Linked DNA regions of Diceros bicornis minor. The protein of the gene in region 3 purifies or fractionates together with the protein of the main gene of each other region. This does not show direct contact. Links are inferred from orthologs where the notes say so. Each region holds a gene or a part of one and is shown on either strand. Other genes may lie near its edges. The genes, in order: TRIM59, PIAS3, STAT3 and PTPN11.

Region 1 (7,726 bases), on a different chromosome or scaffold from region 3:
TAAAATATAAAGGTTTCCAAATCCTCCTCTATAAAACTAACTTTTAAGATCAAAAGTTTGAGAAGAGATCTACAAATAACTAATTGTACCTTTAATAAACATAAAAACCTCTTTAGGATCTTTTCGAATTCCATGTCTATTCGGACAAGGGAAACAAAAGAAAAAATAAACAAGGGGGACCTCATCAGATTAAAGAGCTTCTACAAGGCAAATGAAACCAGGATCAAAATGAATAGACAACCAACCAGCTGGGAGAAAATATTTGCAAACCATATATCCAACAAGGGGTTAACTTCCATAATATATAAAGAACTCACACAACTGAACAACAAAAAAACAAACAACCCAATCAAAAAATGGGCAGACACTTCTCCAAAGAAGAGATACAGATGGCCAACAAGCACATGAAAAGATGCTCGACATCACTAATCATCAGGGAAATGCAAATCAAAACCACACTAAGATATCACCTTACACCTGTTAGAATGACTACAATCACCAAGACAAAAAACAATAAATGTTGGAGAGGTTGTGGAGAAACGGGAACCAATTCACTGCTGGTGGAAATGCAAACTGGCACAACCTCTATGGAAGACAGTTTGGAGATTCCTCAAAAAATAAAAAACAGAAATACTTTATGGTCCAGCTATCCCACTACTGGGTATCTACCCAACGAACCTGAAATCAACAACCCAAAGAGGCTTCTGCACCCCTATATTCATTGCAGCATTATTCACTATAGCCAAGATGTGGATGCAACCCAAGTGTCTGATGACTGATGATTGGATCAAGAAGATGTGGGGTGTGTGTGTGTGTGTGTGTATATATATATATATATATATATATATACACACACACACCATGGAATACTACTCAGCCATAAAAAAGACAAAATTGTCCCATTTGCAACAACATGGATGGACCTGGAGGGTATTATATTAAGCAAAATAAGCCAGAAAGAGAAAGACAAACAACGCATGATTTCATGATCACCACATGTGGAAGATTAACACACGGACAGAGAGAACAGTTTGGTGGTTACCAGGGGCAAGGGGGTTGGGGGGTGGACACAAGAGGTGAAGGGATGCATTTATATGGTGACTGACAAATAATAACGTAGAACTAAAATTTCACAATGTTATAAAATATTAAGGCATCAATTAGGGAAAAAAAAACACCATTTAGACTTTTTAGCTCTATGCTCCTTATCTTCACCATTTGCAAAACCAAACTCTTATTCATTCTTCAAGTCTCAATTTGAGCCCCGCCTCCTCCCCAGATTAGGTCCCCTGTTAATCTGCACTTCTACTTCATAGCACTTAACTGGATTTTATTTAAAAGAATTCTGTAATACTTTTCTATACATTACAATGTGTGAGTCTGCAATAGGGCAGGAATTGTCTAAAACTTTAAAATTTTTTAAGTGTCTTGCCTATTATCCAGCCTTTCCTCTGCCAAATTAATTTTAGAATCAATTTATATTATTTTACACTTTTAAGAAGTAAAATAAAAGTAACCCGTGTAAACTGTTATTTTCCTCCAGTGAGTACTAAAAGCCCAAGTAAAAATTGATAACTTAGTTCAAGGCTTTCTGCTTCCCTTTTAAAAGTCACTAAGATACATGAATATAAAAAATAAATCTTTTCAGAAAGAAACCTGAAGCTAAATCATCTACTTGTAAATTATTTCACAAATTTCTTGTTTTCAAGTGTCAAAAACAAACACACTTCTGAATTTGTAAACTTTTTATGCAGTTTCTCCAGAGGGCTGATTTCCTGTGGAGCCTCCACAATGTCTAACCAGCATATTATGGATGGTCAGCGCTAATAATAGATGATGGAGAATGAAGCAGTACCAAAAATATCCTTACCCGTTCTCCTGTGTAAACTATTTTTTAAGTTTTAATTCACTAATGTGGTATTGCCTTTCATCTCTAAACATCAATGATTATAACACATTCATTACATTTTACAACTTCTGAAAAGAAATTACATTGACCACATTATAGAGTTGGATGGCTTGCTCTTGGACTTACAGTGTGAGTCAGCTCTAAGTCTGGGAAAATTCAAGAGGTGCCAACAGCCAGACTGGGGCTCACATCTTTGTGGCCCTAACTGATAAAACGCACATTTCATACAATTCAAGACTTACTTTAGAAATACTACAACTGTGCTACATATATATACATAGGGCAAGATTTTAAAAATACTTTTGTACATATAAATATAAAAAAATAATGAAGGATCACCATAACTCTTTCAAATTAAAAAAAAAAAAAAATCCTAAGGTCAGATCTGATTTTAACTGTGCCCGTTTGTACTATTTTCCTGCATTTTGACATCAACCTGTTTTCCCAAACCAAAAAAGAAACTATTAATGCAATTTAACAAGGAACTGAAATGAGAAGTTAAGGTTTTCATTGCTTTTGTTTATACTTTTCAAAGTGAAAATATATCTGGTGGAAAACATTCAGCAATATGTTTGCTGAAAGGCAATGTTCAAAGTAACATTACCTAAAATCAAAATTTCACCTTGCCAGAGCAGTTAAATTATGGTACCTTACTTCAAAGGACAGCTACTTGATCATTAAAACAGAACACATATCAATATCTAAATACATAATAACAAGGTGTCCAGATAACTTAATAAATGCAATTTAAAGATCTGTATGTATAAAATGAGACCGTGTATTAAGATGCACACATCCTTGTAAAATTTCTAAAAGAGTATACAAGAGTTAACGACTTAAAGGTCAGAAGAGGGAGTTGTTTTTCACTTTATGCTCCTTTTATATGGTTTGAATTTTATACAACACCAACGTACATCTTTTTTCAAAAGATTTAAAAATTTCACTTACAGTTTAAATCATACACTCAGTAAAAATTTACTGAAGATTTCTTTCATATTCACTTAGTCTCCCAGAGCTTACCTACTTTGTTGATCTTCTAGCTTGGAGACTGAATATTCTTTAGCTTCTCCAGCTTTTTCAATTCTAATTCTAAAATTAAAACAATTTTACCTTAATGTTTTAGATTTACATCCTCAAAAAATATATTAAATACGATATCACAGGAATGGTTCTTTCACTGTCTTTGACAGTTACCTTCTTTACACCTCAGTGCTTTTAGAAAAGTACTGACAAATATCACCAGTTGTTGGAGCAGCAGGACAGGTATCACTCGTACCTTGAAAATCCCAACAATTCTGTGACCAAATCAATTGTCACAAAGGACCTCTTTTTATAGCGTCCAGTGTCTCCTGAGCTCTCGACAATATTAGTCAACAATGGGGATGAGGGAGCAAACGTTCGTGGTCATTTCAGATTGCTTCAAGTTAAGTGGAAGACAAGAAGCCTCCACAGGAGTCCAAGATTTTGCCAGCTTAAAATTATAAATATTAACTTAGGTTATTCCCATCAATACGTCTGTTCATCTCTCAGTTCCGCCACGTAAACGCCGTGGGACCCTGGGTCAGTTCTCCCTGCTGCCTCTCAGCACGTGTGACGTGGCACAATCACACCTCCTCCCGCGAAGCCCCGAGAGCCCCTCTCGAAGGAGAGCCTCCCCTTCCCCAGGGTCGACGACGACACCCGGGCCGCCGCCGGACGCGCCTCCCCCGCGAGCCCGCGGCCGCCCGGCCTCTGGAGGCCCGCTCGCCCCTCCCCGCTACGGCGGGCTGCTCCCCGGAAAGGCAGTGCCACCTGAGGGAGGACAAGTCCCCTCTGGGACAAGAGGGAGCGGGTCAGGACCTAAGCCCACCTCCGCCTCGCGACCCTCGACTCCCTGCAAACACACCCTGTATGCCTGCCTGTGCTCCGGGGAAGAGGCACCCAGAGCCGTCTTCTCCTCCTCGGCCTCAACACGGGGAGGGCCGCCCGCACGGAAACCGAGCTCCCCGCTTCCCGGGCACGCGGAGACACGCTCGGCGGCCGCGCCCTCCGCCCTCAGGGACTTCAGGCGTGCAGACCGGGCGGGGCCTCGCGGGTCTGAGGGCGCAGGCGCAGTCTCCGCGCAACATTCAACTGCCCAGCATTGGCCAATGGGAAAGTGCGGGACCGCGGTTCGAAAGTAAACGGTCGGCTGCGCCCGCCAGGGCGGGGCGTGATCGCGAGGACTCTGCGCGAGACTCCGGCAGCGTTCTGCGCCTGCGCCCTGGGTGCCTGCCCCTCTCCGAAGGCCCGAGGCGCGCTGCAGAGGCCGGGTTTTGGCGGCCGCGCCCCAGGGCGGGTCTCTCCTGGGGCGGCGGCCGACGTTCCCCACGAAGAAGGCCCCTAGAAGCCAGGCCGCATGTTGTGATGCTGGACTTCGAAGCGCAGTGTTTCCGTTGTCCCCTCACAGTCCCCGCGCCGGCAGTCTCCGCCCGCCCGCGGCGCGAGCACCCAGCGGGCGAGCTCGACCTCCTCTGAGGCGAGCGGCCTCCGCGCGGAGAGGCAGGGACCTGGGCGCCCGACCCCGGAGCGTCCCCTGGTGCTTCCGGAGAACCGGCTCCGCGAGCTGGCGGAGCGAGGACCCCTCAGGACGGTCTCCTGCTCCTCCTTGCCTCCCGTTGGTCCCGCTTTATGAAGTGGTTGCCCAGAGAGGACGCGACTGGGGCACAGAATTCCTGACTTCCAGTTCAGTTTCTCCACTGAGTTCCTATTTCACCTTCTTAACCCCCTAGAATCAGGAAACATACAGTTCAGTAGTCCTTTTCCCTTTTTTTCTTGAGAGGCTTTCTCCAGCGCGATCTCAAGGCGCTCCCCTCACAGCTTCCCCTGCCTCTAAAGGTCGCCTGCCGCCGTGCTAAATCGTCTGTGAGCCCTGGGGGACTGCGTGGTGCGGGTGCGTCCAGGTCTTAGGCTCTTATACAGTAAAATACAGGAAGCACATCAAACACAGTATGAAACAGAAATTAAGGTAATATCAGTGAGTCCTGAGCCAATCTCAAATGTCTTCACCAACTCAGCTACTGACGAGGTTGCTTATCATGTGTGGATTCCAGCGCTATGCGCACTGTTGTGTGGTGGTACATGCTCATTTCGACTTTTTTTATGCACGTACATTTTCTATTTTTAGAGTCATCCTGATAAACAGCTTCTTAACTTCCTGTCAGAACAATATGATGTGAATATCTTTCCATAGCAATAAATGCACTATACGTCTATAGAATTATTCTTTTAAGAAACAACACAATGGTAACTAACCATGGACTCTGGATGATTATGATGTGTTAATGTAGGTTCGTCACTTGCAACAAATGTACCACTCTGGTGGGGGACGTTGATAATGCGGGAGCTGAATGTTTGGAAGAAGCAGAAAAAGAGAAGTATGATAGCCCCAAGGTAGAAATTACTCAGGTCCTGGTGGAGGGAAGCTATGACACCAAAAAAGAGGGCCTACATCTGTGGCTCCAGGGAGACTGCTTTAGTGGCCCATGGGTTCCCAACTCTGCCAAAGATTTCTGTAACCCAGCATGACCAGGAAGTAGCAGAGAGCTACAGGAGCCTACAAAACCAATGGCAGTCAACTTGACATACTGAGTTTGTGGACTGTGATTCAGGCACTCTCCAGAAGACCACGTTGGCCTGGAAAGGTTGGACAAAGAAGTAACACTCAGACACAGAAGTACGTGGTTAAAACCATAAGCTTAAAAATCTGAGGTGCTAAGGTGCTCAGCTACCCAAAAAAAGGTGAGGAGAGGGAAGTTCAGCTGCTTTGGGTCTCTGCCTATATGCCTGCACCAATCTCCTTTTGAAAGAAAGTAGGAAAAGGTTAAAAAATGATAAACCTTTGCAGTTATTAACAGGTTATATGAACAGGAGGCAATAAAACATGAATTTTAGGACAACCTTTGGGTGCTCAGGTCAGGCTCCCTGCTTAGACATCTTCTATCTCAAGCCCCCAAACAGTCACAGTCACAGAGAAGTGCCCTGTAGGCAAGCTAACTTTCTGATTTGGAGTTCTAATAGCTACAGAGTTTAAGCACCCTCCTGTTGTCTCCCATCACGTTGGCCTCATCAGAATTATAATAAAGAGAACACATGACTTTCCAAAGTTAAAGGCACCTGTGGTTTATTTCTAGGACTTCAAAGAAAACACAGCCGAGACTGCCGCCATGATTACAGTGGCAGTGAATCAAGGACAGTGAGCTAGGAGAATCTGCCTGACAGTTCATAGGTCATTTTACCTGGGAAAAAAGCACCCAGCTTGGGGGCCGGCCTGGTGGCGTAGTCATTAAGTTCATGTGCTCGCTTTGGCAGCCCAGGGTTCAGGGGGCCAGACCCCAGCGCAGACCTACACACCGCTCATCAAGCCACGCTGTGGCAACGTCCAGCATACAAGATAGAGGAAGATTGGCACAGATGTTAGCTCAGGGACAATCTTCTTTACTAAAAAAAAAAAAAGAGCACCCAGCTATATGATGCAATAGAGTTCACAGACTCAGGGATTTGGACTTGGAAGAGATCTTAGAGGCAACCTAGAAAAATTTCATTTTCAGAGAAGAAAAACCTACCAACCATATTGGTGTTGCCTTAAACTGAGTTTGAGCCCAAATTTGATATTAGTACCTATACAGTCTTAAGCACTAGAACATATTATATAGAATTTATTTTCACACAGCATTTTTCAGCTGTATCTCTGAATGCAACTTGGAAGACTAAAAGAATGTCTTCTGCTCAGTAGTAGTTTACCTCCTAACTAGTTTCCCTTTCATTTACTGTCTCTCGTTAAGAATCATTTTATTTCAAATGCCACTAACTTTTTTTTCTGGCCACTAGCTTTTTTTTTTTTTTTTTAGTGAGGAAGATTAGCCCTGAGCTAACATCGGTTGCCAATCCGCCTCCTTTTGCTGAGGAAAATTGGCCCTGGGCTAACATCTGTGTCCATCTTCCTCTATTTTTTTTTTTTTTATGTGTGGGACGCCTGCCACAGCATGGCTTGATAAGCAGTGTGTGGGTCTGCGCCCGGGATCTGAACCTGCGAACCCCAGGCCAACGAAGTGGAGCGTGCGAATTTAACCACTATGCCACCAGGCTGGCCCCATCCACTAGCTTCTTTAAATGCTCAATTTTGTGGGTGGCTGTTACCTTAAATAAATTTGGGGAATCTCTTGATTCAGGCAGTTAATATGCAATTTTCTAGGACATTCTGTTTGTAATTGTTATGCCATCATCACATTTATTTTAATTATCTAAACATTTTGAATTTCAAGAATTTTTTCTTATAAATCATAAAATTTTGATTTTGATAGTCTTGTGTGATTCTCTAATCCATTTCAGCACAGCAATATTATTTATTTGTCTAATAAATGGACAGCATGAAAGTTACAGAGAACACAGATCTTGTACTTGAGTTGCTTATCTCAGTGAGCTGATGTACAGGTATAGCACAGCTAAATGGTAATGTCAGGTAACTACAGTCTAGAGGGATTGCACTGCAAACTGACTGTGCAGCAAACTGGGAAAAGTAGGTCAGATCTGAAGCTGTGGAGTTCCCCAGGTTGCTGCTGACTGGTGACCGGACAGTTGGAGCTGCTCATGGGTGATCTTCACCTGCTCTAGGGTGTGTGGAGGGGTTTCTATTGTAAATACAAAGCAGAGTGGCTGCCCACCTCACAGTTAGAAGCCCATTAGTCATATCTGTTCTACACCCTTTCAGATGATGATCTCTGTCTCCTATACTCAGAATGGTGGGATTTGTGGCAAGCAACACAAGTCTGGGATTGACTAATGCCTTCCCAACCCTGG
Region 2 (7,160 bases), on a different chromosome or scaffold from region 3:
CAGGAGTATCTGTCATACCCTTATTTCATTTGACCCCCAATGGGAGCACAGCAGGGCTAGGAGGGAGGATCAACTCACCTTAGCTGCACCTGTATGGTATAATCGCATTTGGCTCCTGGCAGAACCTCCCTATAACAGGGAGGGAGAAGAAAAGATGTCAGTATGTGACCCCAGAGGGCAGGGGTGAACAGACAGAGACACAGAAAGTTAGATGTCCAGGGGATAGAGAAGAGGCATACAGGAGACAAGTCAGGTACAGGAGGATGGATAGGGAGGAGAGCAAGGCAGAAGAGAAGAGTCAGAGAGCAGAGTCCAAGGGTAACCCCCTAGGATGGGGCAGGAGGACTGAAAGAGATGTACCTGGATGTGAGAATCTGCTGCACTTGTTGGGGTGTGAGAGCAAAGGTAAAGTGTGCTTCCTCAAACCGCTGGCTAGAAGTGGATGCTGAGGACACAAGGGGGCAGTTATTCCCAAGCCCATGCTCAGGCAGCCACAGAATTTGCCCCCATCCCAGGTTGCTGATCCCACAGGACTAAAACCTAAGAAAGGCTTGGGGAAGAGGCATGGAGCCCAGGAAAGCTGAGGCACCACAAAGAGTCGTACCAAGGGTGGTGGGCCGGATGAGCTCCCCGTAGACTTCATAGAAAGGCAATGGTTTCATGGTGACATCAGGGTGCACAGGCTGGGGTAGAGGCGGGTGCATGTCCACTTCACGCTTGGGGCCCAGCAGGGTGCCAGGGGCCAAGAGGGCTGGGGGAATGGGAGCTAGAGGACCAGGAGAGCCTACAGGAGGGGTGCCAGGGGGCAGAGAGAGCAGGGAGAGATCAGAGGGCCCCAGAGTCTTCCTGGGAAAGCGTCGGCGGTAAAGCTCTTTGATCTTCATCTGGACGCTGGGGGCACAGCTAGACTTGAGGAGGTGCAGGGCCTTGGCCAGGAGCTCGTGCTTCCGTCCACTCTTGTTCCGCCCAGCAAAGCCAAGGAGCACCTGGAGCTCAGACACCCGGAAACTCATCACCATGTGCTGTGGAGAACAGAGAAGCTTGAGAATCCTACCTTGCACAGGCCTGTCCTGTCAAAGATGCTGGGGCTGAGCTACCAGGTGGGCGATGCCTCTTTGCCTCCAGTACTGATCAGAAAGATGCTTTGCAGCCAGTGGATTACTGCCAGACAGCCGACCTGGCCAAAGGGACATCTCAGTCTCATTTTAGCAACCTGAGGTCAACCTCACCACTACCCCCTAGAGCTTGAGCAACCCCATCTCCCCATGCCTGCAAGTTGACCAGGTGGGGGCAGGATGTAGGGTGCAGATGGCAAGCCACCCTCAGGCACACCTCTGAGTCCACTACAGCCTCCTACCTCCATCCCTGCCTCAAGTCTGGACTCTCCTTTAAGCTGCTTATCTCCTCTCCTGCTCTTTCTCAGACTCCCAGACCCATCCCAGACTCCTGGGAAGAGGATAGGAGACAAGGAGAAGGAGGGGGAGAAGAGGATTCAGGCCAGACAGTCCCACAAGGAAGAAAGGGGCCAGGTGGCTGGAGGATTGTGCCTCACAGCCCACCCCTCCCAATACCTCAATCTACCTCAGCTATTTTCCCCAAGCCTCTGGAGCTTTTGTGGCCAGGGTTTCCAGGGCAGGCTTCAATGCTCATACCTCCCCTAAATCCTTTCTCAGTGTCATTTTTCTGGGAGGGAAACAAGACCAAAACTTGAGGCGAGGGAGAGTGTTAGCAGTGAATCACCAAGTCCAGGTATCCTACCTGTTTACTCCATCTCCTTCTTTCCTACATAGAGAAAATAAGCGATCCTCCTCCTCCATAGGGATGGAAGAGGAGAGGGCAAAGCTCTCAACATAGGCCGTGGGAGAATAAGGAGAAGATATGTGGGCCCTGAGCCAGGGTGCAGAATCTCGAGCTCTCCTAAAGGCAGCTGGGCCCAGTGACTAGACCTCAACCTGCCCAGGACTGTGGCTCCATTTCAAAAGGTGGAACAAAGGCAGGAGGCAGAGGGGTGAACCCAATGGTTTAAGAGGTGTCCCATGAGATGTCCTTGGATATGGTCACCCTCAAGACTCTGTGCCCTCATAGTGGGAGGGCACAAAAAGCTTTCTCTTTAAAGGACTCCCTTCTGTCATTCTCTAGGAGACCCTGCCACGGGCAGACCTTGTTAGCCCTCCACAGTTCTTCCCCTCATAGGAAGCATTATACCTTTGGGCCCCCTTTGAGGAATGTGATGAAAAACTTGCTCCTCTACCTTTCCCCCCATCCTTATTTCCTCTATACTGTCTTTATTTCTCCATTAGCTTTGCCAAGAACTTCCCTCTTTTCTATCCTCTGTCCTGCCCGAAGACTCACTAAGGCAGGACCTTCCTCTCAGCCTCCAGGATGCTCCTGCCCCACCCCTCGATCTATCTGCCCGCACAGCCCCGCCCCCTGGATCTCAGCCGCCTACTGGTTCTTCCCAAGGCTCGGATCCCAATAGAAGCCCCAAAGACTGTATCCTCTCAGCTGCATTTCCCCAGGAGCCTCCCGTACATCTGCCTCCCAGTTCCATCCCTACATCTGCCCCCCTACTGTCGCATCTCTTGGCCCCCTATGCCACTACAGAGCTTTTCCCCCTAGCCCTACCCCTACATCTGCCCCTACTACCAAATCCGACTCCTACCCCGTGTCCCCGCCCCCTGCGCCTCGGCCCCCAACAGCTGCAATTCCCCTCGGCCCCACCCCTACATCTGCCCCGCGGCCCCGCCCCCGGAGCTTCACCGCAGCCCCTTCCTCGCCCACAGCCACTTCTTTCCCATCCCCAGCAGCCAGTCCCCGCCACGTCTCCAGCCCGCACCCGAGCCCTCAGCACCCAGTCTCAGTCGCTTCCCTGACTCGGCGTACCGCCGAGCTCAGTCCAGATGGGGATGGGGGAGGGGGCCGGTACCTTTAATTCGCCCAGCTCCGCCATCTTGAGACATCGCAGGAGCCGGAGCCCGAGCCCCAGCTCAGGCCCAGGGACCGGCGCACAACTCTCCACCCCGGCGCCGGCCGCAAATGCCGCCTGCTCCGCCCCGTCCGGCCCCCTACACCTCCCCTTCCCGACCCCGCCCGCCTGGTTTCGGACAAGCCCCGGCCTCAGCCCCTCCCTCCACAGCCGGACCCAGCCCCTGCACGTCTTTGGCCGGTATGCAAGACCCGTAGACCCGGAGGGAGGGTACGGCCCGAAAGATCGGGGGGTTCCCGGGGGTAATGGAGAGGAGGCGGACCCGAAGTGCCTGGGGGAGGGGGACTTTGCCACGCCAGAGTTGGGAGGGGATGAGCTTTTAAGGAGCCAAAGATACTTGAAATATGGAGGGAAAGTATCGAGAACTGCTAAATCTCAGAAATGGGGGAGGGGGTAGCGAAGTTAAAGCGAATACCCTCATCTCCCTCTTTACAAGTTTAACTAGCTAAAATCAAGAGTTCTACCACTCGGGAAATGGGTGAGATCTGACCCATTTTAGGGAAGCTATGGAGTCGTGAATAGTTCATTTCAAGACGGCTATTCTCAATCCTTCGTCCTCCCTCCCCCCTCCTCCCCCACTACAATGTAGCTCGTGGTCCGAGCGCAGCACTCAAACCAGGCAGCGAAAAAGTTTGGTGCGGAGAGCGGGACTTACCAGCACAGTTGCAGGGAGCGGGGAGGGGGCTCAGGAGGCTCAGAGGGTGGGCTGGGGATGTGGGGGGAGGGGGCCCGGCGCCGCTCCCGCAGTCTGAAGGGCTGGAGGTTGGTCCGGCAGCTGGACGCTGCAGCCGGAGCTCCGCCTGGCGGGAGCTCCGCCCGGCCCACCGCTCGGGCCGGGGCCGCCCCCTCCTGGGTGAGCCCGCCGGGATCGCCAAGATGGGGGGAGGAGGCGGAGTCTGGGGCGGGAGAGGGAGGGACCCTGAACCTGTCGCTGGAGAGATTAACTCCTCGAGTGAGTGGATCAGGGGAGACGACGTTCTTGCATCTCGTCCTTCTCACTATCGCTCTGACCCCTTACGCTGGTGTACGGGCTTGGGGCGGAGGCATGCTGCGGATAAGACAGTATGGACCGGGGATCTGACCACATTAAGAGATTCCTACTTGAAAAGAGACTTCTAGCAGCCTGGGCTGCTAGAATCCGAAGTGTACCTAAGCCCAACTTTACCTGTGGCCGCCACCTCCTACCCCAAATACACAGACCGTCACCAGAGACCACACACACTTGGTGTAGCTGAAGGTGAACAGAAGGGAGGTTTTCCAGGCTAATCGCTCACATACAGGTGCCATGAAAGCACCAACTTTAGGGCAGTTTACCCAAACTAGGTCCTGGAAAAACGCATAGTATTTTATAGTTAGTTGGCTGGGACCTAAATGATAATGTCATTTGTTCAATAAATATTGGAATGCTGTTCAGAGATTGTTGGGTGCTGAGGACATCAAAGCCATGCAGGAGCTCTCAGTCTAACAGTAGCAGACAAGACAGTTAAACCTATAATCAGCATAGGAAAAGAGTACTTTAATAAATAATATGAATAATCCTCTCATTTAGCTTAAACCTTCAGTATAATCCTTCCCGTGAGACCCTACTCACACCATAAAACTAAAAGTGCCAGCCTGCCAATATCCCCAGGTACCTGTTGAACTGAACCATGCCCAACTACTTTGTGGATTTTGTCCGTAGGGAAAATGTCCACCTTCTCCTGACACTCAGGTTCTTTCCTTGCTGCTTTGCTGCCAGCACTGGTGGGACCTCAAGATAAACTCAAGCTCAAGTATTTGGTTCTAAATCCCAAGTGATTCCTCCAACACTTGAGTCTTAATCAGGCCCTGAGCTCATTTTCTTTTTTGTTCTGTATAGTCCTCTAGATCAAAAGTTATTGTGGACTAGTTTGTATTTTCTAGAGTTTTCAGTGGTTTTGGGGAAAGGAGGTTAAGGAGGATGAAAAAGAGAGGGGAACTCTGGGGGTGATGGATATGTTCATTATCTTGATTGTGTGATGGTTTTATGGGTGTATACATATGTCAAAGCTTATCAAATTGTACACTGTAAGTATATGCAGTTTATATTGTGTGTCAATTATACCCCAATAAAGCTGTAAAAATGTAAAAATAAAAAGTCAACCTCACCTTGATTCCTAGCGATTTCATAAAGGAGGGATCTCCTTTAATAGTTAATTTGAGGTTATAAGTTCTAGCATCCCTATGGGATAGCAGAAAACTAGGAACCCAGGCACCTGAATCTAATCGTGCAAGCTCCAGGAGGACAAGAACTTTTCTGTGCTGTTCACTCTATCCCCAGTACCCGGCACATAGTAGACTCTTTAAATATCAATTTAATAAGTTAATCCTACCAGATAAAGGAGGGAAACTGCAAATCAGGGCCAAGTTCCAGATGGAGGACATTAGAAGACATAGTCTGAATCCCATCATGGCCGACCAAGCTTCACCTGCTTTCACCCATGCACTCCTACGTCTGAAGCCTGGGGAACAAGGGGGAAGTGAAACAGGAGTGATAAGTTCCTACTGAAGTCCTATTAAACAGCCCAGGAGGAAAGGGGGGACCGTTAGGACTAGAGTTACTTTGGGAAAGAAAGATTTATTTATGAAATCAAGGAAAATTTCAGGGCTCAGCGTTGTTGGGGTAACAGTGTATGGGGTTGTATAGAGAGAGATTGGGAAGACCAGGGTCTGGGGAAGGTTCCACTCCTTTATTAAGATTAACATCACTGACCATTCCCGTAGCTCAGCCATCCTGGAATCAGCTTCCAGGGGCCCCAGAGGGAGCCAAAGCCCTGGCTTCCATTACAAAAGCTGTATCCTGACTCATACTTGAACATAGCCAAATGATCTCCCCCTCTCTGGACACTTCTCTTGGCAGTTTCTTCATTCTTTCCCCCCAACACTCCATATATAATCAGGCATGCAACAGTCCTTTTATATTCTTTGGTAACTCTAAGAACAGGAAGGAAAAGAGAGGTTCTGTTCCCCTTAACAGAAATGACTTGGACCTTTTTGATGCTCTTCCTCTGGCAGCTGCACTCTTCCCTTTCTCCATCAAGTCCTCCTCTCTCCATTCCCCCAGCCTTAAAGCAGTCCTGTGCCCAACCACACAAACCCCAAAGCTGACCCTCATCTTCTCTAGGACCTGATCTACATAGCTGCTCTTTTTCCTGGCCAAACCCTGGAACCAGGCTCCGCAGACCTTGTGTGGCCCCCTGCCTTCCACAGCAGCCCCTCCCCATTCTTCTCTCAAAGCAGTCTCTTTACTGCCAAACCACTGCCGGCTGACCCAGCATAACCCAGCAGGGGGCGGGCTGAGAGAAGGAATGGGGAGGGATCAGTGTGTGGGCCACCAAACCGCAATTACAGATTTTGGAGAAACTCACTGCCTCACTCTCACCTAGCAGTCTGGCTGGTGGAGGGGCAGGAAGGGGAGGAGACCCAGGGGAAGTGGCCAAGAGAGATACATTTTTTTAGTGTGAGAACAGAACTGGAGGGAAGAAGCCAACTCTGATATCCCTTCATCCCTTTTCCAGGAATCAGACTTTTCATCCCTCTTTGCACCTGGGGCAAAGAACACTGACCACATGAAACCATGTGCCTCAAATCTAGACACATCGTTTAACACATAATAGAACACTTTAGATTGTACATCCTGAAGAAAAACCAGGTCTCTCAATCTCTCCTTGAAAAAGATAGTAGACTCAGGAGTCCCAAGGTAGAGAAAAAAGATCAGAGCTGTGTTGGTCAATATGAGACAAATTTGAGAAAGAGAGGAGTGTCAATCCCCACTTTAACGGAGGGCTGTTTTTCAAACTGTGGGAATGCTGTTTTTCAAAGTAGATCTTGACCCATTAGTGGATGTATTGTGACCAATATTTTTTCGGTGGAGCATAGTAGCAGAGAATAGAATAGAATAGAAATAGTAAGGGTAAATATTATTTCAGGTATGTACACAGGATGCAAAATGTATTTCTTACTGTGGGTCATAATCAAAGTTTGAAAGCTGCTGACTTATGAGGCCATTTGTGATCAAAGAGGAATGAAAAAGATTCCTTCCGTCACAGCCCTTTAGACAGAAAAAACAACACCCAGCACCATCCTGCCTCCTGCTTTATTTTCCATAGCGCTGGCTTCCATCCACACTGCCTCTGGTCTCATCCATGCTGATTCC
Region 3 (7,810 bases):
ATAGAGATAGAGACTAACAGGCTGTGAGCAACTTTAGGTGGGAGTAGGTAGACAAGGCCTCTCTGAGCAGGTGAGACCAGAAGGGTGAGAAGGAACCAGTGATGCCAAAGCTGGAGAAGGAAAAAGAATGGTATATGCAAAGGCCCTGAGGTGGGAAATAGACTGGCTGGAATTTAGTAGATAGGAAGGAGGTTGGTGGGGTAGGCAGGGCCTTGAAAGGGATAAGAAAAAGGAGAACTCCTTTATCCCAAACCCCATGGAAAGTCACTTTTTTTTTTTTTTTTTGGTGAGGAAGAGTGGCGCTGACCTAACGTCTGCTGCCGATCTTCCTCTTTTTGCTTGAGGAAGATTGTTGCTGAGCTAACATCTGTGCCACTATTCCTCTATTCTGTATATGGGACTCTGCCACAGCATGGCTTGACGAGTGGTGCATAGGTCCAGGCCCAGATCTGAACCAGCAAACCCTGGGCCGCTGAAGCGGAGCACAGGAACTTAACCATGCCACCGGGCCAGCCCCCGCCATGAGAAGTCACTGAAGGAACAGAATGTCATGATATGAATGATGTTTTAGGCAGCACAGAAAAGAGCTTAGCCTTGAAAATATTGAGTAGGGAGGACTGCTCTTCAGACAGGAGGAAAGAGAGATGCATGATGATGTCTGAGAAGTGAGTTTTTGCAGAGAAAGTAGAGGTCCAAGGAGTTCACGTTGCACAGATCTGCTCTTCTCTGTGATTTTAGTGAGGGGGAGCTGGGCAGCACTGTGTAAGCCTTTCTGTTGCTTTGCCCCCATGGGGGCTCCCATCACCCACGAAAGTTGTCCCTTGCCCTCTCTGGTCACTGCAGTGACTTGCCACCATTTACTGCCACCAAGGTTCTTCTCCAAATCTTCTCTTCCTTGCCATGCCCTCTTCTTGATTTAGAGTTTTACTGCTAATTCCTCCAGGGAAGAGAGAGTAAATAAAAATTTTCTAGAACTTAATAAAGTCTGATCAGTCTCAGTTCCTGATCTAACCCCTACAGTCCTGAGTCTCTCTGAGGTGATAATGGAAACCTATCCTGGTTATGTATTGCTGTGTAACAAACCCCCAACAGAGTGGCTTAAAACAATGACAACATTTGTTTTGCTTATGAATTTGTAATCTGGGTAAGGCTCAACAAAATTGGCTCATCTCTGCTCCATTTGGCCTCCATTAGGCTGGCTTGAAAGCTGGGGCTGGAATCATCTGGAGGCTGGCTCACTCACAGTTGATGCTTGCTGTCAGCTGGGCCCTAGCTGGACTGTTGGCCAGAACACCTTCGTATGAGCTCTACATACAGCTTGGGCTTCCTCACAACATGGTGGCTGAGTTCCAAAGGTGAGTGTCCCAAGAGAAAGAATTAGGTAGAAGCTGCATTGCCTTTTATGACCTGACTTCAGAAGTCATGGCAGCATCATTTCCGCTGTATTCTATTTATTAGAAGTAAGCCACTCAGGGAGTGGAATTAGACTCTACCTTTAGATGGGAGAAGTGTCAAAGAATTTGTGAACATGTTTATAAACCACCGTAAACTCACAGGGCTTCTGCACTCTGTCTTTATTCACTTGATTGATGAGTGGAGAGTGGGGACCTCACCTTTTCCCCTCCTTTACACCTTTCCTTGGGGATCCAAGAGGAAGGTTAGGTCTGGAGATATAGCCAAGGAAGAGCAGCTATTCAGGCCTCGAATTAGACACACTTGGATTTGAATCCTGGCTCTGCCATTTATCAGCTCTGTGTTCTTGGGTAAGTCACTCAACCTTGGGTAAGTCTCATTTTCTTCATCTGTAAAATCACAGTATTCTCATGGGTTTATTGCAAGGATTAAATGAATTAATAGATGAGTTACATAATACATAGTAAACACTCAATGAGTGTTAACTATTGCTGATATGATTATTCAATACGTGTTTATTACTATTTAATTAACTCAATCTTAGGTGAGTTCTGGGCTAGACGCTGGGATTGTGAAAATGACTATGAAGGGATTCAAGCTTCCAGGAACCTAAAGCTTAGGGGGAGATGTTTTCAAGCATGTGGGCAGAGAGTCCAGGATTTGGAGTCAGCCAGAACCAATTCTCATTCTGAGTTTGCCCGTAGTTTCTAGCTGTGGGAACTTAGACCAGTCTTTTTTACTTTCTCAGCCATAGTTTCCTCAGTTGAAAATGAGAATTATAATAGAACCTACCTCACTGAGTTCTCAGGAGGATCAAATGAGATAATCTATATAAAAAGCTTAGCACTGTTCCTGGAACATGGTAATTACTTAATAAATGTTAATTATTAATTTCATTTATCAGGAAGTAGGCTAATAAATGGATATATTACAGTCCAACGTGGAAAATGCTCTACTAGATGGGGAAGCAACCTGCTAAAGGAGTCCAGCAGAAGAGATTAACTTTGTCAGGAGTAATCTCAGAAAGCCCAGAGGAGGTGAGGTTGGAATTGGGCTTTGAAGAATGAGTAAGAGTTTTCGGGCAGGGAATGAGGAAAGAGAAGATATTCTGGGTGAAGGGAAGAAGATCTGCAAAGGCATGAAGTTATAGGTGTCGACATGTTTGGAGAAAGGTGATAAATTCAGTGTGGGAGTATAAGGTGTGTGGGATGGAGGGGTTGAGGCTGGAAAAGGGAGTTCAGGTCAAAACATTGGCTCAAGAAACCTGCTGTCTTTATGCCACACTTGGTAGAGTGTAGAGAAAGGCCACTGGCTGGGCTGGAGCAAGGTTTTGTAGGTGGAACAGATGGACTCAGGGGTAGATTTCATGTGTGAATGTGAGGCAGGGCAGTGAGGGAAACAAAGGCCAGCTGCTGAGGAGTCAGGGGAGGAGGGCAGGGTTTGAGTGGATGGAACAAAGTTATGGGATGCAGAGTCCAAAAACCTGCCTCTGAACCCACCTGGGATACTTCTGAGCATCTCCATGATCTTGAGATTGTCATACTATTGTGGCCTTCGTTTCCTATCAGTAAATAATATGGCCTCTCCTATCTGCTACACATAATTGTTGTGAGAAAGAAAAGAGGTGATGAGTATGTAAGTGCTTTGTAAGCAGTAAATAACTAAACAAATATTAGACCCAATGCTATTAGGGAGGCAGTCAACTGCATGGAATAGCACAGCTAAAGCAGAGTTTAGGTGAAGTGGAAGGTGGGGGATATCTGCCCTGGGGTGAAGACAAAGATAAGCACAGCGATCAATACACACAAACACACACACAGACACACACACACACTACAGACAAATACAGCGTTTTGCGTTTTCCACGTTGGGCTGGGTCTACAGGAGGGCAATTGGAAACTCTCAATCCCACCACCAGTGACCCCACCAATTGTCCTATAGATGCTCTCACCTGTCGCTTGGACATGAGGTGGTCCAAAGGTCCAAATCTGGAGTCTTTGGCCGGGCTTCAGGTGTCTGGGGAACCATGAGATTTTGTGAGCAAAAGCTCATGCTGTATAATTCTGAGGCTAAAATCTGTAGTCTCCAGCAGACTGAGAAGGATCTGTGACCCCCCACAGGTTAAGGGTCATTGATTTTCTCACCAGCAATTAATAAGAATAGCTATCCTAGGGGAGAAGGACTGGTAGGAGAAGGGCGAAGATTTTCATTTTCAATTTTCGACTTTTCTGATGTGTTTGAATTTTCTAACCACTACCATGTGTTAGTTTCATTGAAAAAACTGCCATCAGGGGTTGTCTGGGTGGTGAGATAATGGGCCCTTTTTAGATTTCATCTTTATACCTCTTTATATCAAACAAACACAACAAATACTAATAGCTATTATTTTTTAAAAACTCTGAGAGCGTCAGCACACATACAAATCTCTCCATTATGCAAAGTACATCCTCTGTTATGTAAGGTAAAATGTCTACATTTCCTATAAACTACTAGCTTTAATGCAGTAAAACTTGCATTTGAAGTAGAGGAGATGAGACGAAAAAGAAAAAGGCAGGCAATTTCAACTATTTCAACTCAGACGCATAAAAATAGCGTGTCTACGTGTCAATCTTCATATGTACTGTTTTCTGCATTCTCCTGAACTGGCCACTGTGCGAGCCGTTGGCGTTTGATGCTTGAAGCGACGGAACGGAGGACAGGGTTAAATCCACTACCCTCTCCCCACGCACTCTAGTAATTACTCTATTTCCACGTCATGTTTCCGGGTGTGTGTGTCCCAACTCACGCAGAAACTGAAGTTCAAAGCAGGCAGGAGTCACCCATATTCTTTTTGCTGTCCCCAGAAACCCAGTTCAGGCGTTGGGCCCCCTGAGGATCTGGCGATACCTGGGGACTGTCTAACTGGCTGATTCCCACGTGGTAAGTGGCTCCCAACCTCGCCCCCACGTGGTGTTCAGTGCCGGGAGAAGGGAGAGCAGGCAGAAGAGAGCCGCATCAGGGGCATTTAAAGTGTCTTGACGTCACGCACTGCCAGGAACTCAGCTGAGTTTTCAGCAGGACATTCCGGTCATCTTCCCTCCCTCCCCCCGGGCTTCTGCGCCCAAAGCCTCTGCTCTTCCCTGTTGTTGCGGAGGGAGGAGCAGTAAGCCTTCGGAACAGCCAGCATAGGGGCGTTCCCAGCCTTGTCTTGGCTCCGCCCTTTCAACCAGAGGCTCTCCTCATTGGTCGGTGGGTGGGGCTTTGGGTGTCCCGCACACGCACTAGGGCCTCTGGGTGGCCGAGAAAACTGGCCGTCTCATGAATTATGCAGCAGCGGCTTGTCCCGGCCAGGCTGGGGCTGGGCGGGGATTGGCTGGAGGGGCTGTAATTCAGTGGTTTCCGGAGCCGCGGCGGCGTAGACCGGGAGGGGGAGCCTGGGGTTCCGACGTCGCCGCGGAGAGAGTGAGCCCGAACCGGATCCTTGACGAGCGCCCCAGCACGGCCCTCTCTCTCCGCGTCTGCTAGGAGAGGCCCCAAGGCCTGAGGGAGACCCGCGGCCTAACCCCGGCGCAAGCGCAGCCCCGGCCTGTCGGGCCTCAGCCCGTGAAACAGGTGAAGGAGGTGAAGGGTGGGGCCGCCCCCCGACGGCCCCCAGACCTGGGGACCCCGGGGATACCGGAGGGGCCGGAAGCCTCTCGGGTGTTTGGGGGAGCTGTGGATGGAAACTTCAGCGGAGCGGGGGATTACGAGGGGACACGGAGGGTCGCTCTGAAGGGACAACTCCCCGGGATGACAGGAGCGGGCCTCTGAAGGGACAGGGGGCACTGGAAGGAAGTTTCGTTCTTTGGAGAAAGGGGGGACGCCGAGGAAGAGGGAGAACGGGCTGGAGGGGGAGTACCTTGGGGCGAGGGCACCTGGGGTGGGGGTGGCAGGAGTGAGGGACAGCCCCCCGACTTCCTGCTCCCTGGGGCTCTGGGGACGTTCCGGCCACAGGAGCGACTGTCACGCCGCGGAGATCACCGGGAGGGGGGGTTGGAAAGAGCCTCCTCCTGTCCCCCGGCGGGCCTGGCGGCTCCCGGCTGAGCCACTTCCTCCGCCTTGCCCTGTTCCCGCTCCTTAGGAGCCAGCTCTGCCGCTCTGGAGGTGGGAATAGGTGTCTTCCCTTACAGCCTCACAGGCTGGTTGGTTGTGCGTAGGATTATTGCATAAGAATCGAGTTTCCTGTAGGGAAATTGACAGTCTCGTACTCTTTCTAAATTCCCTCCCGTCTTTTTCTAGGTTAAACCGTGCTTCCCTCCTACTCCTTCTGAAAAAACATAATAAAACCCCCATCAAGCCAGCTCTAGAGAGAAATAAACCTCTTTCCTCCTTGACATTGTTCTTTTATAAACACCTGGTACATTCAGCCAGAAGATAAATAATTGAGCCCTTGCGTTTACGGGATTGTGGTATTGCTTAATTGAATAGGACAGAATGAACCAATCGAGAGTGGGAGTTTTCTGTCTCAGAGCCAAGATCTTGGGTAAACGCAGAGGAGAGGGAAACAAAGACAGGCTGGCCTTGGCAAAGCCATGTGTGCAAACTTTACCTGTGTTTGGGGGTGTGGTTGGGCTTAAGTTAATAAAATTCCAACCGTCACCCAAGTTGCTTCTCCATGTGTAGTACACATACATCCCTCTGTGTTGTATCAAATGGGTGTATGGTGTTGACACACTTTTTCTTATTAAAAATGTATCTAACGTACCTGCTGGTTTTTATTGTGTGTGCATCTAAAGGGTATATTTATTCTGTGTATGGGATGTAACTTTGGGGCTGACTGTGCTGATAAAGCATTGATTTCAAGAAATCAGAACAGTAAATCATCTCAGTCTTTTATATGTGAATTTAGACTGTTATGACTTGATTCTGCCAATTTTCTATTTTATTTTATATTAAATGTGTGTGTTCCCTGAGTCAAAGGTTATTTCCTTATTACATGTGCCAGACTGGAGTAGTAGCAGAATTTTTGCTTACACATTTGTATAGTGGGATGGGAGGAAGAAGTCTGCAATACAAAAAAAAATTGTTGTAGATGTTGGAGGGCTGATCTTAGCTTCTATATTTGTTAGCACATCCCCCACAAAGAACCACTAGCAAATTCATGAATATTTTACTTTTATATGTAGTTCTTTTGGGAAGAATAACTATTTAGAACTATCCAGTTATGACTTGACCCACAAAAGGTAAATGGTTCATATAACGTCAACCCCGTTTTGGTAATAAGGAAATTGAGAACAAAGGAAAAAGACCCTTGCCCAAGGTAGCAGAGTGCCGTAGTGGTAGAACTCATCCCTTCTGTATCTTTTGTGTTCTTTGACTATCTATGCTTAAGTATTAGGTCTTGATTTAGAGTGAGTGTAGGCCCTGCTGGGAAAAGTGTTACTGAAATTCTAACATATACCTAGACAGTGAAATACTACCAATAGGTTGTAAGACTCCAAGGGTGATAGTTAATAAACAGGTAAAAAAAGAAGTACAAATCGGGTTTGCTTAGGTTATTTTTCTGTCTAACTGCTATGACTAACATGGGAAGTGACTAACTTTTTTTATTCTTATTGTTATTTTTTTAATGATTATTTTTTATTTTTTTTGTGGAGAGGATCAACCCTGAGCTAACATCCATGTCAGTCCTCCTCTTTTTGCTGAGGAAGACTGGCCCTGAGCTAACATCTGTGCCCATCTTCCTCCACTTTATGTGGGTTGCCGCCACAGCATGGCCTGACAAGCGGTGTGTTGGTGGGCGCTGGGGATCCGAACCCAGGCCGCCAACAGTGAAGTGCGCGCACTTAACTGCTATGCCACGGGGCTGGCCCCTGGAAGTGACTAACTTTTTAGTTGGCATAATTTACCATCAGAATTTAGCTATTTGCTAATGGAAAGAGATATTTATTTAGGCAAGCTTGTAGGTGAAGGATGGTCGTGACCTAAATGTCCCTTAAACCAAAGTGCCTTGTGGCTTGATCAGTGGTCATTTGTGTCTCCAGAAAGTTGCTGTCTTCTCCCTGCCTCTGAGTGTCTTGACATTCAGATGTGAAGTGGGGCAGAGGTAGGGACCATCACTCCAGCTGCTGAGTCCAGCACCTTTTTATCTTATGGCTTTTTCAGAGGTAGTGTACAAATTAACAAATATTTACTTTTTGCATCTTTGTGAAAGTTGCTATGAAGAATAAGATGCCTTAAAGGTTCACAGAACTTGCAGTCTACTGAGGCAACTTGATAAATGCTTTATCCATACAATGCAACATGTCCTCAGAGAGATGGTGAGACATTAGCCTGCACTGTCCAACAAAGTAGCTATTATATATTAAAAACATATAGCATAGATATAGAACGTTTCTGTTATCATAGAAAGTTCTCTTGGACAGTGCTGCACTAAGAG
Region 4 (7,035 bases), on a different chromosome or scaffold from region 3:
TTGATCAAAATGAAAAGCCTCTTTTCTTCAAAAGAGATGGTTAAAAAAGTGAAAACACAAGCCACAGACTAAGAGAAAATATTTGCAATTCTGATAAAGGTCTTGTATCCACAAGAAAGAACTCTCAAATCTCAATAACAAGAAAACAAACAACTACATTAAAAAGGAGGAAAATATTTGATCAAATAGACATGTCACCAAAGAAGATATACAGATGGCAAATAAACACATGAAAAAATGATCAACATTATTAGTCACCAGAGAAAATACAAATTAAAACTATAATGAGATACCATGACATATGCAGTAAAATAGCTAAAATTTAAAAACTGACCATACCAAGTGTTGACAAAGATGTAGAGAAACTGTAACTCTCATATGCTGCTGGTGGGAATGCAAATGGTATAACCACTTTGGAAAACAGTTTGGCAATTTCTGAAAAAGTTAAATATACATCTAATATATGATCCAGCCATACCACTGATAGGTGTTTACCGAAAAGAAAAGAAAGTGTTTGTCCATACAAATATTTGTACACAAATGTTCAGAGCAGCTTTATTTGTAATAGCCAAACTCTAGAAACAATCCAAATGTCCATGAACAGGTGGATGGATAAACTGCGGTACATCCATACAATGGAATATTACTAAGCGATAAAAAGTAATGAACTATTTGACACACACTACAACATGAATGAATCTCAACATAATTACGCTGAGCATAAGAAGCCAGACACAAAATTCCATTTATATAAAATTCTAAGAAATGCAAACTAACATACAGTGACAGAAAGCAGAACAGTGGCTGCCTGACAACAAGGCAGGGATTATAAAGGCCCAAGGACACATCACAAGCCGTGATGGATATGTTCATTATCTTGATTGTGGTGACAGTTTCATGAGTGTATACATATGTCAAAACTTATCAAATTACACACCTAAACATATGCAACTTATGGCATGTCATTTATACCTCAATAAAGCTGGTTAAAAAAATAATAACACAGACCTACGATCTGAAAAATAATAATAAATAATTCCCAATTATGTGTGTTATGTGCATAATCTGACTTTTCAGGTAGCACACATTTCTCTTCTGTAATAGGTGAGTAAGAAACACCAGGGCTGGAGAGGAGGAAGAATTACTCTATTTCAAACTGTCATCTTTACCACTTGCTGCCTTGGCTATACCCACACTTCCCGGCCTATACACTAACAAGCTGGACAATGCAGGGTCTCTTACCACCCAGTCCCTTCCCTACCCAGCCCCCAGCCTTTCTGTCTCCTAAAGAAGCAGATCCTTACTTGTCTGGAAGAGCAGACACAAGGAACAAAAGGCTCAATGACTATTTGACAGATTAAAGAATAGACAACTGTTTTATTTAAAAACTCCCTAAAGAATTAGAACATTTGAGGCTATACACTGTTCTGCTGAAATGCAGTTATATATTACCCAGATCTGTAAGCACTTGCCAACAGACCTGTCCAAGTCACTCACGTCCTAAGAGTTTTCAGTTTTCTTTTTTCTCCCTCTTTTCATTCCAGTTTCACGAATGAATAACGTGCAGGTATATCCTGAGAAGACATACCTAACATTTTGAAAAGTCTCTCATTCAAATAACCCCAATAGCTTGAAATAGTTTTTCAAATGTCTAATATAGTGACCGTCACAGGACAATTAAGGAAAAGATTAAACAATGGGTCTTATGTGTGAATCTTATATAAAGAGTAGGACACAAAACAGCAGGATCATTATCGGAAAACAATACGTCACGCTACCGTTGAACAACAAAATTAAGGCCTACAAATGATTAGCAATAGTTATAAAAGAATAATAGCAATATGGTGATTAACAGCGGGGATTCTGGCCCCACCACTTATTGGCTGAGTGATCTTAGGCAAGTTGCCTAACTTCTGAAACTCAGTTTATGCATCTTTAGAACGGAGACGTTAGTACCTACCTCAAACGGTTATTGTGAGGATTAAATGTGTTTGGCTTACTGTGAGAGCTAAATCAGTGTTGGCTATTAGTGGTATTATTACCCTGCACTTGCAAAAGATCTCATTAATTCGCTAATCCTCCTTATGACTCAGAGTCAAGTCCTGTCATTTACTAGCATGTTATTGCTGAGCCTCAGTTTCCACATCCGTAAATCGGGGGTGATTAATGTTACCTGACTTTTAAGGTTGTGGTGAAGGATTCAATAACCAGAGATACAGCTCCCTTCCCTCCCATCTCTCAAAGCGAACAGTGCAGAGGAAGGAAATACTTCTAATAGCTGCAGATACAGTCAGTTTTTCCATTTCTGGCACGTGAGGGGTGGGGGGAAGGAGATGCAAAGAGGCACATAAAGGGGCCAGGGATGCTGAGCGAAGCCCCCAAAAGCGCGCGACCAGCAGAGCGACGCCGAGCAGCCCGACCGCCGGGGCCGGGCCCCGCGCCACTCCCTCCTCTTCCCTCCCGCGTCCCGGGCCGAGGAGCCTCCCCAAGCGAGTGGGGTTATTTCGGAATCACCATGAGGCAATTCTCATGAGGCAATGGGTCAGGAATGCGGCGCCGAGCCGGGCCGCTGGCGCCCGCCGTTCCCGCGGCGGCTCTACCTGGCCCCGTCCTGCCGGGCATCCCCCGGGCTGCGGGAGCCGGAACTCGGGGAGGCAGGAAATGAATGGGAACCCGAGGGGTGGGGGCGCGGCGGGCGCAGGCCCCCGGCCCCGGGAGGGCGCGGACGTCGGGAGGGGCCCGCCCGCTGACCCCAGGCGCGGGCCGAAGCCCGGCCGGGGCGCCCCCTCCCGGGCGGGGCTGACCGCAGGCGGCGGGGGCCGGGCCGAGGCCGCGCCGGGCCCCTCGGGGCTCCTCACCTCCGCGATGTCATGTTCCTCCCGCCCTCCGGCTCCGCGACGGACCCGCTCCTTGCTCAGGCTCCGCTGGGCCCGGTCACATCGGGCTGGCCCGAGGGAGGCCCGCTCGGGACCGGACGGGGGGCAGAGCCAGCCGGCCGCGCGCAGACCCCCCTCCAGGCCTGGGGATCCCGGAGACTGTGCAGCCGCCCCCCGAGTCCCGTTCGCTCCTCCTCCTCCCCCGCCCCTCGCCGCCGGCGCCACTCTGACGTCACCCCGTGCGACGCCCGCCGCCACTTCCTGCTTCCAGTCCGCCGGGGACTGAGCGGCGGCTGGTGATGGCAGTCCGGTGGCTCGGTGGGGCCGCCGCCGCGCAGTTCCCAAAGCACCTCGACGTCCTCCTTTAGACCTTGGCCGCAGGGCGTGCGCCGCGCGCTCAGTGCTGTACGCGCTCCCGGGAACCCATGCCTCCGCTTCCGCCGTGTCAGTTTCCATCCCCGACTGCCAAACCGAATTTCATTCATTTCATTCCACACATCGCCGCTCTGCTTCCTGGCTGTGTAACCTTGGGAAAGTTGCCTAATTTCTCTGAGCCTCAGTTTCATCCATTCCTTCATTTCTGTAAAATAAAGATAGTAATTGTATTTTCTTCGTAGGATTGTGGGAATTAAATATGTAAAATTCTTAGAACTAGGCCTGGCCTGTTTAGTAAGTGCTTTGTAATTGTTCGCTGTCTTTTCATTACAATTAAACATCTGTTGATTGTTTGCTATCTGCTAAGCACTGTTTTAGATTATGGGGATATGAACAGAAAAGACAAAAATCCCGTGCCTGTGTTCTCGAGGGAGGAGCTACAGTAATCAAGATAAGTAAAATACTCAAGATAATACTCGTACCCTCCTTTCTTGTCTTTTCTCCATAGCCCTTTATATTATCGTTTTCATTAGGGTAGTTAGGGAAGGCTTCACTGAGGATGACGTTTGAGTAAAGAACTGACGCTGGAGCAATCTATGGGAATAACTCGAGGGAATAGCATTTCAAGCACAGGGAGAGAGAAGTGCAAAGGCCCTGAGGCAGGAGGCTGCCTCCTGTACTATTTGAAGAACAATGAAGGGATCTCTAGCTAAAGCACAGTAGAAAGTGGGAGGGGTGAAGGGAGAGTAGCAGGAGATGAGGTGAGAAAGGGGTAGAGATAGTATAGAGTCCTATAGGCTATTTAAATGAACAGTAAAATGGAAAGCCATTGAAAGATTTTCAGCAGAGGAGGACTATAATCTATGTTTTAAAATTATTATTTTAGATATTCTCTAAGGAATCAGATCAAGAGGGCAAGGCTGGAAACAGACCAGTTTGGAATACTAGAATTCTGTAATATTCCAGGCTGGAGATGATGGTGGCTCCACCCAGAATGAGAAGGTAGAGTTTTTACTTGATGAAGGCCCATGTGACTCATTAAAGGTCACAGATCTAGTAAGTGGCAGAGTCAGAATTGGAACCTACATCTATGTGGCTCCAAAACCCTCATTTTTTCCTCCCAGTGCTCTCCAGCTCACTTCTGATAAATAAATGGCAAGCAATAGGACATATTGGAGTATATGAGGAAGCCATTTGGTGTAAAACTAATTTGGCCTGACCTTGTTTTTCCAAAAAGGCCTGATGTGGCTTTTGAACATGCATTGTATATCTGCTTTAAGCATTTACCACGTCCCGAAGACAAGAACAAATGCCCTTAAGATAAGGATGTAACTTCCCCCACATTGGTATTTCCTTAAGGATAAGCTTTTCTCCCTAGGCTAGGATTTGATTGCTGTCCTCATCTTGTGACCACCCAACTTGAGACAACAGACCTGGTACCTGCTGTGCCCATCAAGACAGCAGACCTGATGCCTGCTGTGTCCATCAATCGCTGTGCCAACAGGACAATCTTGTGATTATTGTAAAGGGACATCGCAATCATATGTGATACATGCTCTTTGACCGTGTATAACTGCTCCGTACACCCCACTTCTTTGGTGCCCTTCCTTCCTTGGGGAAGGAAGGCCCCGGGCTATGTGGTCCTCAAATCTGGCTCATAATAAACTCACCCCAATTTTGATTTATAGATTGATTATGGATTATTTGCATTGACACTTCTATATGAAGAACTCACATGCAGTGTGCTAACTGCTTTAGCCTTGTTACAAAAAAATCCTTACAAAAATTGTCTTTAATATATGCCAATTTAATTTAGGTAATAGGCATTCAACGAACAGTTGCCCAGGCTGTTTCCTTCCATTCCTCCTAAATCCCGGCCACCTAGATGACTCAAAGAAAATCCTAAAGGATTTTAGCCTGCACGCTTGCCCTCTCCAATCCATTCTCCACATAATAGCCAGGGTAATCTAAAATGCGGAACTAGTCACTCCCTACATTGCATATACTTCAATGGCTTCTCATTGCTTTTAGGATGAAGTCAAAAAACTTTTTAACAACCACCTGATCTGGTTCCTGCTCACTTCACCAACCCCACTCTCCCCACCGCTATGACCCAGTCATGCTGAATGACTTTCAGTTGTTCTCAATATGCCATGCCCTTTCCCAGCTCAGGGTCTTTAAACAATCTGCTCCCCCTCCCTAGAGAGTACTATGTGACCCCCCCCTCCCCATGAACTCTAGTCTACGCAGATCTCAAACTAGAAGTCATCTCCTCTGGGATAGGAAGACTTACCTGATTCTCCCAGTCTAGGTTAAGATGGTCCCCAAGACACCTATCCTGGCTTAGAAGTGAACACACTTCATTATAAATCTAAGACACAGTATCATGTGGGGGATAAGTTCTTGATCTCCAAAACTCAGCCTGCCTGCCTGGTTGTCCCCAGGTAAGTGACTTGACTCCTCTGTGTCTCAATTTCCTTCTCCGTGAAATGGAGGGGTGAAAATACTACCTACAACATAGGGTAAGTTGTGAAGAATAAAAGGGTTAATGATTGTGAAGTATTTAGAACAATGCCTGGCAAAGTAAGCACTTGGTAAATGCTGGTTATCATTTGTCTCTTTTCCAAAGTAAGCTGTAAGCTCTTTGAATACAGAAACTGAAGCCACGTACCTGATGGTTACTGTAGCTATTCAATAAGAACATGATTGCCTTTTGACCTTGTTCCCAACACAGACATAGATGATTTTTGTCAATTTGCTCTTTTCTTGTTTAACTTGAGGAGTGACTGATTTGTGAGTTTGTTTTGCAGAAGAAAGAGAATGCCTTCAGGGAGGTTGCAATCTCCAGACAGCCGGCCCCCAGCAGCCATTGCAGATTGTCTTGGGGCTTATCTGGAGTGACCTGTTTGTTTCTCCAAAGCTCCTCCTGGCAAGCCCATTAGCTCTATAAAAACTCCCCTCTTTTTGCTCTGATTAAGGCAGATTTGAGCAAACCGGTGCTCCCACCTTCTCATCTTGGCCAACTCAAATGGGGCCTTTCTCCATCTCCAAGCCCGATATCTCAGTCAGTGTTTGTCTTGCTGTGCATCAGGCATATGAATTTGAGATTAAGAGGTTCAGTATCAAAACCATTGCTTCCCCTGTCTTTCCTATAGTCTATACACTCTGCAGCTAGAATGATCTTTCTAGAATACAAATCTAATCATGTCCTTCTCCTGTTCTATGAGGGAGGTTCAAAGCCTTTAGCACTAAATGAAAATCCTTCCATTAGCACATCTGGCCCTTCTAAATACGAACCATGTCTACCTGTTCAGCTTCATTTATCCCCACTTCCTCACATAATCTGGCAGTTTCCAAAGGCCTCTAGCTGTTTCTTGCATCCCTGTATTCCAAAATTTAGTTCCTTCTGTCTGGAATGCACTTTAAACCCATCTCCAAATGGAAAAGTAAGTGTCAAGCAAGATATAGCTCCAACTCAATCAACTTGTGCAGTAAACATTCTCTGCACACACCCCTTGACCACTTCCTGAGAATAAAATAGAGCCCTCCTCTCTATGCTTTGCGGGCTGCCTGTTCATGCCTCTATTGGTCGGCAACACGGTTCAACATCATTGTTGATTGACTGTTCTGCCTCTTCCCTTAGATTATGAGCTCCTTTTAAAACAAAGTCACTGTCTTCTTCATCTTTACATGCCCAGAGCCTAGCACACTGCCTGGCATAGAATAAGCTTAAGAAATATTCATTTAGGGCCGGCCCTTGGCTTAGCGGTTAAGTGCGCACGCT

The links.
Region 1: the proteins of STAT3 (region 3) and TRIM59 purify together in Homo sapiens (affinity purification with western blotting; 4 studies listed by BioGRID). This does not show direct contact. The link is inferred for Diceros bicornis minor from reciprocal best matches to the Homo sapiens genes STAT3 and TRIM59.
Region 2: the proteins of STAT3 (region 3) and PIAS3 purify together in Homo sapiens (affinity purification with western blotting; 5 studies listed by BioGRID). This does not show direct contact. The link is inferred for Diceros bicornis minor from reciprocal best matches to the Homo sapiens genes STAT3 and PIAS3.
Region 4: the proteins of STAT3 (region 3) and PTPN11 purify together in Homo sapiens (affinity purification with western blotting; 3 studies listed by BioGRID). This does not show direct contact. The link is inferred for Diceros bicornis minor from reciprocal best matches to the Homo sapiens genes STAT3 and PTPN11.

What each region holds. Positions count from the first base shown.
Region 1 is NC_080754.1:66,345,692-66,353,417, forward strand, and holds the start of TRIM59 (tripartite motif-containing protein 59), read right to left. Parts: upstream 3,009-7,726; 5' UTR 2,930-3,008; intron 1-2,929. Other genes in the region: uncharacterized protein LOC131414636, read right to left, coding at 3,276-3,380, 3,795-4,330, 4,953-5,016. UniProt on the Homo sapiens protein: E3 ubiquitin ligase involved in different processes such as development and immune response. Serves as a negative regulator for innate immune signaling pathways by suppressing RLR-induced activation of IRF3/7 and NF-kappa-B via interaction with adapter ECSIT.
Region 2 is NC_080743.1:53,388,544-53,395,703, forward strand, and holds the start of PIAS3 (E3 SUMO-protein ligase PIAS3), read right to left. Parts: upstream 3,014-7,160; 5' UTR 2,951-3,013; coding exon 2,927-2,950; intron 1,023-2,926; coding exon 605-1,022; intron 446-604; coding exon 361-445; intron 130-360; coding exon 79-129; intron 1-78. UniProt on the Homo sapiens protein: Functions as an E3-type small ubiquitin-like modifier (SUMO) ligase, stabilizing the interaction between UBE2I and the substrate, and as a SUMO-tethering factor.
Region 3 is NC_080757.1:41,524,010-41,531,819, reverse strand, and holds the start of STAT3 (signal transducer and activator of transcription 3), read left to right. Parts: upstream 1-4,794; 5' UTR 4,795-5,004; intron 5,005-7,810. UniProt on the Homo sapiens protein: Signal transducer and transcription activator that mediates cellular responses to interleukins, KITLG/SCF, LEP and other growth factors. Once activated, recruits coactivators, such as NCOA1 or MED1, to the promoter region of the target gene.
Region 4 is NC_080774.1:10,559,138-10,566,172, reverse strand, and holds the start of PTPN11 (tyrosine-protein phosphatase non-receptor type 11), read right to left. Parts: upstream 3,019-7,035; 5' UTR 2,873-3,018; coding exon 2,859-2,872; intron 1-2,858. UniProt on the Homo sapiens protein: Acts downstream of various receptor and cytoplasmic protein tyrosine kinases to participate in the signal transduction from the cell surface to the nucleus. Positively regulates MAPK signal transduction pathway. Dephosphorylates GAB1, ARHGAP35 and EGFR.